2 linked regions of the Callithrix jacchus genome follow. The protein of the gene in region 1 purifies or fractionates together with the protein of each later gene. This does not show direct contact. Links are inferred from orthologs where the notes say so. Each region holds a gene or a part of one and is shown on either strand. Other genes may lie near its edges.

Region 1 (3,847 bases):
GTGTTTACATTTAACGCCCTTTCTCCTCTGCAAAGCACACAAGCTTCCCAAGGGCAGGGTCTCTGTCGTGTTTAACACGTATCCCAGGGCCAAGAGAGGAACCTCACAAACAGACGGGAAGCTGTGATAGTTTGCTGCAAGAATCTCGGTGTCACCATCTGTAAACTGAGGCTACATGATGCTTCTCTGGCAGGGCTATGGGGCAAGTCAACATGACACAGGAGGCAAAGGGCCTTGGGCACCAGCCAGCACCGCATCAATGTCCAGGGGCGGTGGCGACAATCACTGATGTGGGCGATGAGAAAAGGAACGGCCGGCCCCTCGCATTGGCGCCGGCCCCCACTTACCCTCATGCTTCTGGAACTCCTCCTCTGAGAAGTTGACGTCCTTGTGGGAGAGGTTGGTCATAAGCTGCTTGTTCTCCTCCTGCAGCTGGGCGATCTGGGAGAGGAGGTCCTGAGCCTCCCCTCGCCACACATCCTCCACCAGCTCCAGCTCCTGCCAAGGCGAGGGGACAGCACGGGGTCACTGCCTGCCCAGGGCAGCAGCCTTACCCACCCTGACCCTAAGGGCGGCTTGGATTGCCGGGACTTTGGGCCTTCCCCTTCCTTGTGAGAACTGGGAATCAGGCATCTGGGTTGGCAAGGCCACCATGAGCCCCATATGGTACTTTTGCAAGAAACAGAAGGCACCCTTCTTTGGGGCAGATGCCTGCGTTTATGCTGCTAGGACCTGGCCCAGTTAGAACTGCCCCAAGGACAACCACAAAGCTGGTGCCACGTCTTGGAGCTTTCTTCAGAGAGGGCAGAGCAGCCCCAGGATGTGCGGGTCCTAACATTCTCAACCTCTGGGGGCACGTCCTTGACTCTGGACAGTTGGGACAAACCTCTCTCCACAGGAGCCAGAGGGCTCGAAAATCCTGGGGGTGCCGAGGCAGACAGGGTCCTCCTGCCCCAGAGTTCCTTAGGTATCTGATCCAGGTCTCTCTCCACAGGGTCTTCAACCACTGACCTGACCACCCTGAGCCTCAGTTTCTCTCAGTAGGGGAACCAAAACAAAGGCTCACTAGGTGAATGTGAGAATAAATAAAATCAGTCTATTAAAGTTACCTTGTGAGTGACTGTGGTCAGAGAAATAGACAATGACAAGTGCTGACAAGGAGAGGAAGAAACAGCAGCGCTCCCACGCCGCTGGTGGGAATGGAAAATGGTGCGGACATTCTGGAAAACACTGGCAGTTTCGCAAAACATGAACACAGTTACCACAGGACCTAGCAACTCCAGTCCTTGGATCGGCTCAAGAGGTGTGAACACAAGTCCACATGAAAACGTGTGCAGGGAAATGCTCCTCACAGCATTCTTCCTAGTAGCCAAAACGCAGAAACAGCACATCCATACAGTGGAATACTATTTGGCCACTAAAAGGAATGAAAGTCTGACATACGCTACAACATAGGTGGACCCTGAAAACATTATGGAAAGAAGCCAGACACAAAAGGTCAAATGTTATATGATCAGTTTTAAAAAATGTCCAATATCAGCAAATCCATAGAGATAGGAAGCAGGGCGAGGCACAGTGGCTCACGCCTGTAATTCCAGCACTTTGGGAGGCCGAGATGGGTGGATCACTTGAGGTCAGAAGTTTGAGACCAACCTGGCCAACAAGGTGAAACCCCATCTCTACTAAAAATATAAAAATCAGCTTGGCGGCCGGGCGTGGTGGCTCACACCTGAAATCTAAGCACTTGGAGGCCAAGGTGGATGGATCACCTGAGGTCAGGAGTTCAAGACCAGCAGGACCAACATGGTGAAACCCCGTCTTTTTTTTTAAATATATATATATAAATTAGCTTGGCATGGTGGTAGGCACCTGTAATCCCAGCTACTCCGGAGGCTGAGGGTGGAGAATCGCTTAAACCCAGGAAGTGGAGGTTGCAGTCAGCCGAGATTGCACCATTGCATTCCAGCCTAGGTAACAAGAGGAAAATTCCATCTCAAAAAAAAAAAATATATATATATATACATATATACATATACATATACATGTACATGTACATGTCAGGCGTGGTGGCTCACGCCTGTAATTCCAGCACTTTGGGAGGCTGAGGTGGGTGGATCACCTGAGGTCAGGAGTTCGAGACTGGACTGACCAACATGGTGAAACCCCGTCACTACTAAATACAAAAAATGACCCAGACATGGTAGTGCATGCCTGTAGTCCCAGCTACTTGGGAGGCTACGGCAGGAGAATTCTTGAACCCAGGAGGTGGAGGCTGCAGTGGCTGAGACTGAGCCATTGCACTCCAGCCTAGGCAACAAGAGCTAAAATCTGTCACAAAATGAAAGAAAAAGAGAAAAAGGAAAAGAAAAAAAGAGAGAAAAAGGAAGCAGACAGGTTGTCTAGAGCCAGCGTGCTAGAGGGAAGATGAAGAATGACTGTGAATAGGTATAGATTTTCTTTTGGGGGTGATGAAAATGTTCTAAAATTGATGGTGGCAGGGTGCAGTGGCTCACACCTGGAATCCCAACACTTTGAGAGGCCAAGGCGGGTGGATCACTTGAGGTAAGGATTTCGAGACCAACCTGGCCAACATGGCAAAACCCCATCTCTACTAAAAACACAAAAAATTAGCCAGGTGTGGTGGTGGGCACCTGTAATCCCAGCTACTTCGGAAGCTCAGGCAGGAGAATTGCTTGAACCTGGGAGGTGGATGCTACAGTGAACCGAGATCAAGCCATTGCACTCCAGCCTGAGCAACAGAATGAGATTCCATCTCAAAAAATAAAATAAAATAGTAAAATAGGCAAGGCACAGTGGCTCACACCTGCAATCCCAGCACTTTGGGAGGCAGGTGGATCACCTGAGGTCAGGAGTTCAAGACCAGCCTGGTCAACATGGCAAAACCCCATCTCTACAAAAATATAAAAATTAGCTGGGTATGGTGGTATGTGCCTGTAATCCCAGATACTCGGGAGGCTGAGGTGGGAGAACTGCTTGAACCTGGGAGGCAAAGGCTGCAGTGAGCCGAGATCGCGCCACTGCACTCCAGCCTGGGCCACAGAGTGAGACTCCATCTCGAAAAATGTAAAATAAAATAAAATAAATAGTGGTTCAAGGCATTGACACCGGAGCCTGTTGACCCAAGTTTGAATCCTGTTCCAGCTGCTTACTAGCTGACCCTGGTAAGTTATTCAACCTTCCGGTGCCCTGGAAATGAGGAGAACAATGTAGGATCTGCCAGGAAGGGTGGGTGTGAGGATTAAACAGTTACTATGAGTAAAGTGCCCAGAACATGCCCAGCCACCAGAAAGCACTAACAACATGTAATCTCTGTTCCATCCCTACCACCCATCACAAGCGGCCAGGTGGCCGCATGCTAGGCATGCCTCTGTCCATCTGCTAAATAAATTCTCAGACCCACCTCCTTTGTCAGAACCTGTAGCACTGGGGACGAGAGGAGTAATAGCCTAGTACTGGCACCGAGGGTTCAAGGTCACCAGGGGAGGTGAAGGGCAGGGTGGGGGGCGGCAGTCGTGGGGGAGGGATGGGGAGGGCATGCTGACCTTCCCACAAGCAGGTGGGGCTTGGAAGCAAATGAGGCACATCCAGCCCTGTTCCTCTCTGCTCCCAGTGGGCATCGGCTGGGCTCACAGATGCTCAGAGAACATCAGTCAAGTGTAACTGGCTGGGGCAGGCAGAATAACAGCTTCCAAAGTCCTCCAGGTCCTAGTCTCTGAGAATATGTTGCCTTACGTGGCAAAGGGGACTGCGCAGAGATGATTAAGTTAGGGACTTAGGCACGGTGTGGTGGGTTATACCTATCACACCAGTAATTTAGGGGGCTGAG
Region 2 (4,111 bases), on another chromosome or scaffold:
ACTACGGAAGGCAAGGAGAAAAAGAGCGGTGTAAATAGGATTGATGGGGAGAGAGGTCAGAAGTAGGTAAAACAAATGAAGAGAGAATGCGAGGATGGAGGCTGTGTCGGATTGGGGGTAGGCTTGACCACCTTTCAATTTTTTTTTTTTTTTAATCAGACGAGGTCTCGCTCTGTCGCCAGGCTGGAGTGCAGTGGCAAGATCTCGGCTCACTGCAATCTCTGCCTCCCAGGTTCATGCGATTCTCCTGCCTCAGCCTCCAGAGCAACTGGGACTACAGGCACGTACCAACACGCTCGGCTAATTTTTTGTTTTTTTAGTAGATATGGGGTTTCACCGTGTTAGGATGGTCTCGATCTCCTGAACTCGTGATCCACCCGCCTTGGCCTCCCAAAGTGCTGGGATTACAGGCAAGAGCCACCTCGCCCGGCCCACCTTTCAATTTTCAACCCAGTACGACTCTGGTGGCAGGTAGACGCTCCACGTCCTCTGCGGAGAGCTCTCGGGTTCTCCCGGATTCCTAAAGGCCAGCAAAGGCCTAGAGCAGGTTCTCTGAGCATCGCACATAACCTTCCACTTCGCGGGGTTGTTGTTCCTGCGCCCAGGTGTTCCTCAGCCTTCCTCTCCTCGCCCAGGAAGAGGCTGTGGGGATTACATCATACCAACCCGAGCAGCATGGCCAGGTTTTCCATCTCCAACTCTTGCTCCAGAAGCGAACCGGGATGGAGCGCTCAAGTTTCCCCGTCAGGGTTGGCCCTGGCGGGGGGGAGGGGAGCGGGTGGCACGCCGGGAGGAGTCTCGTTCTAGCAAAGAAGCTATTAAATGACCCAAGGCACGACTTTTTCTCGCATTCACGAGCTCCACCTACACAGGAACACATGGCCACCCAAGCCCGTCGCTGCGCCCAGACCTCCGGCTCAACACACCCGACAAACTCTGTGCAGAGAAACCGCAGCGCGGGCTAGTCGGCGACCCCGGGAAAGGAAAGAGGTGCGCGGTGCGGAAAGCGTGTACCCGAAGGCGCTGCGCCTGCGTAGTGGCTAGGCAGCGACTCCCGAGGGGCGTGCTCGTAACGCCGCGCACCCTATCAGGCGGCCAAAGGGAGCGCGCCGCGGCCTCACCCCCTCTCGCCCCTCCCTTCTCCCCTCTGGGTTTAGCTTCAGACTGAGGCTTGGAGGCCGGAGGGGGCGCTCCACTCTCCACCCAGGCGCGCCCCACGCCCTCTTGTGCGCGTGCGCAGAGGCGGACCGCAAGGCGAGGGCGCGAGGGAAGGGCGGGCGTACGTCCTTGCGTGCGTCTCAGGCAGCGCGCACGCTGGCGTGAGAGGGCACGGGGGAAAGGTGGCTCTGGCCGGGGTGGCTCGGCTTCCTGGGGCTATGTAGCTGAGCCCGTCGACTTGGGGGTTCTTCTTCGCTGTCCTCGCGGCGTGCTAGCGCAGAGTTTCTGCTCCGGGGAGAGACTGTACACACGCCCGCCGCACCTCCTCGACGGCAGAGCAAGCTTGCTCGCCCGTGGGAGCGTCCCGGCCGAGAAACCCTGAGGGGGGAGGGGAGGCCATTTTGTCCCGACCGACTCCCCGGAACCGGGCGGAGCGGCTGGGAGAGGCTGCGGAGCTGCGGTCGCCGCCCTCGGAGGCACTGGACGGAGGCACTGTCTGGGCTTCCTCGAAGCTGTTCGTAGGTCGCCCGCACCCTCTCGAGCTTTCCTTTTTCCCACGCTTCCCCGTCCTCCGGCCTGAGAACGCCCGAGTGAGGAGTTGGCTGTAGTGAGAGGGACCGATCCCTTGGGGCCGCCGGCGGCGAGAGCCCGAGCCGCTCCTCCCAATGGCGAAGAAGACGTACGACCTGCTTTTCAAGCTGCTCCTGATCGGGGACTCGGGAGTGGGGAAGACCTGCGTCCTTTTTCGTTTTTCGGATGATGCCTTCAATACCACCTTTATTTCCACCATAGGTAAGACCTGTGGGAGGACAGTGTACGGTCTCGGTAGCTGCAAACCTTTTATTTTACTCCAGACATCTTGCTTCCCGTGATATACGCCTTTGTTTCGGTGATTCCGATTCCAAACGACAGACCCAAGTTACTGTTTGAATCGGTATGGAGCTTACTGGGGCGGGGTCTTCCATGCTTTCCATCCGGCCTTTTGCTTTCAAGTCTCCCACTATGCTCAGTGCCTTCGGTTACAAAATATGCATCATTTAACCACGTTCCGGAACCTTATTTCTTCAGGACTGGCTTTTTCCACATTTGCGTGGAATTATTAGATGTGTGGTATATGTAAGGTATTTATTTCAGTGGTTGTGATAGAAGCAGTACTAGCTATTTGGGAAAGGCCTGAGTTTATACTCCGGGGCAAAAAGAAGATTCCATATGGTCATAACTTAGAGTAAACTTGAGGGTTTGTGTGTAGAATAATTAAGGCAAATTAGAAGGGAAAAGTGAGTTGTCCTCCTTGACTAATCCATTGATGTGTCAAACAATCGGAGGCCCTTCGCGCTTGGGGTGGGACTCTGGCATATTTGCCTCAGTGCCTTTTGAGACATCAACAGAAACAGTAATCTGAGGGAGATATGATCAGTTTCTGTCCTCAAACCCAACAGAATGAAGTCAAGTTCTCTCTTCTGTTTCGACTGTAGTATTTACAGGAAAGTATTTTGCCAGTCATAGCCCTAAGGACTTCTAATGTACTTTCACCACGTTTCAGAATTACTTAGTGTGGAAGTAAGAGCTAAAGAGTGACCTTTTAAATCGAATTTCCCATTTAGGAAAGGAAAAGGGAAGGCTCTAGGAAAGTCCCTTTTGAATCTGGTTAGAAAATTTAGTGGCGCTGATGCTAATTGTGCTAAATTAATTGTGAAACTCATCCGATCCCCAATACATTTCTTCAAGACACATAGCTGCCTCTGTCACTTGGAGCCCAGCACTCAGCATTGTGGCGGTGTAGTTTAACCCATTTTTAAATGTAATTTTCTATTGAGACGATTTTAAAAAGCAACTGCAGTTGTCTTTGAACTCTGGGAATTGTTAAAATTAAGCTGATTTGAAAGAATTTATAGCGTTACTGAAATAATTTGGTTTGGATTTTTGTGCGTGTGTGACAAATAGCTGCTTCATTCTCACAAAAGAAATTACACTGAAATTAAATTGGACAAGTGGTTTTTTAAAAATAGATTTTTATTTTGCTCACCCTTTTTGGGTGGAAATTACAGTTCTTATTTCCGGAGTATCTTACTGTTCTCTTGGTCTTTCACAAATTTCATGAAACTTAGAACTTGTTCTCTAACTTCTGGGTTAGAGAACACTAGCACTTAGCGCTAGCACTTACAATGCACTAAGTTTGCTTTTAACACTCCACTTTTAGCTGTAGTTGGGTGGGGTTAGGTGATCAGATGGGTCAGCAAATATTTACTGAGCACCTAATGCTTGGCACTATTCTTAGGCACTGGGAATAAGTGGTGAACACAACAGACCCCTCGAAGAGCATTCCAGTGAGGTCAATCATAACAATGTGGAAGGTGCTACAGTAGTAACCATAGGGAGGAGGACTGGCTAGCCTAAATCGTGAGGAGTCTGAGTAGGCTTACATAGAGATGATATCTAAAATGATGAAGTCTGAGGGACTAATAGGAATTGGGTCAGAGGGGTGAGATAAGGCCTTTCTGGAAAAGGGAACATAGAACAAACGTATAGTAAGGTTGAGGATTTAATTCATGTGGTCAACTTTATTTTGAGACAGAATTTCGCTCTGTCACCCAGGCTGGAGTGCAGTGGCATGATCTCAGCTCTCTGCAGCCTCCACTTCAGGGGTTCAAGCAATCCTCCTGCTTCAGCCTCCTGAGTAGCTGAGATTAAAGGTGCCCACCACCGTGCCTGTCTAATTTATGTATTTTTAGTAGAGACTGGGTTTCACCATGTTGGTCAGGCTGGTCTTGAACTCCTGACCTCAAGCAGTCCACCGCCTCAGCCTACTAAAGTGCTGGGATTCCAGGGGTGAGCCACCATGCCCAGCCATGTGGTCACCTTTAACCTGTCATTAGGAACAGTGGTGGATGGAGAGAATTGGAAGCAAAACATTGTCTACTCCAATGTTTTTGTAAAGGGTACATGCCCCCAT

The links.
Region 2: the proteins of RILPL1 (region 1) and RAB10 purify together in Homo sapiens (co-immunoprecipitation; 3 studies listed by BioGRID and IntAct, with this or other methods). This does not show direct contact. The link is inferred for Callithrix jacchus from reciprocal best matches to the Homo sapiens genes RILPL1 and RAB10.

What each region holds. Positions count from the first base shown.
Region 1 is NC_133510.1:126,721,175-126,725,021, forward strand, and holds part of RILPL1 (RILP-like protein 1), read right to left. Parts: intron 499-3,847; coding exon 348-498; intron 1-347. UniProt on the Homo sapiens protein: Plays a role in the regulation of cell shape and polarity. Plays a role in cellular protein transport, including protein transport away from primary cilia.
Region 2 is NC_133515.1:88,923,552-88,927,662, forward strand, and holds the start of RAB10 (ras-related protein Rab-10), read left to right. Parts: upstream 1-1,311; 5' UTR 1,312-1,823; coding exon 1,824-1,950; intron 1,951-4,111. UniProt on the Homo sapiens protein: The small GTPases Rab are key regulators of intracellular membrane trafficking, from the formation of transport vesicles to their fusion with membranes.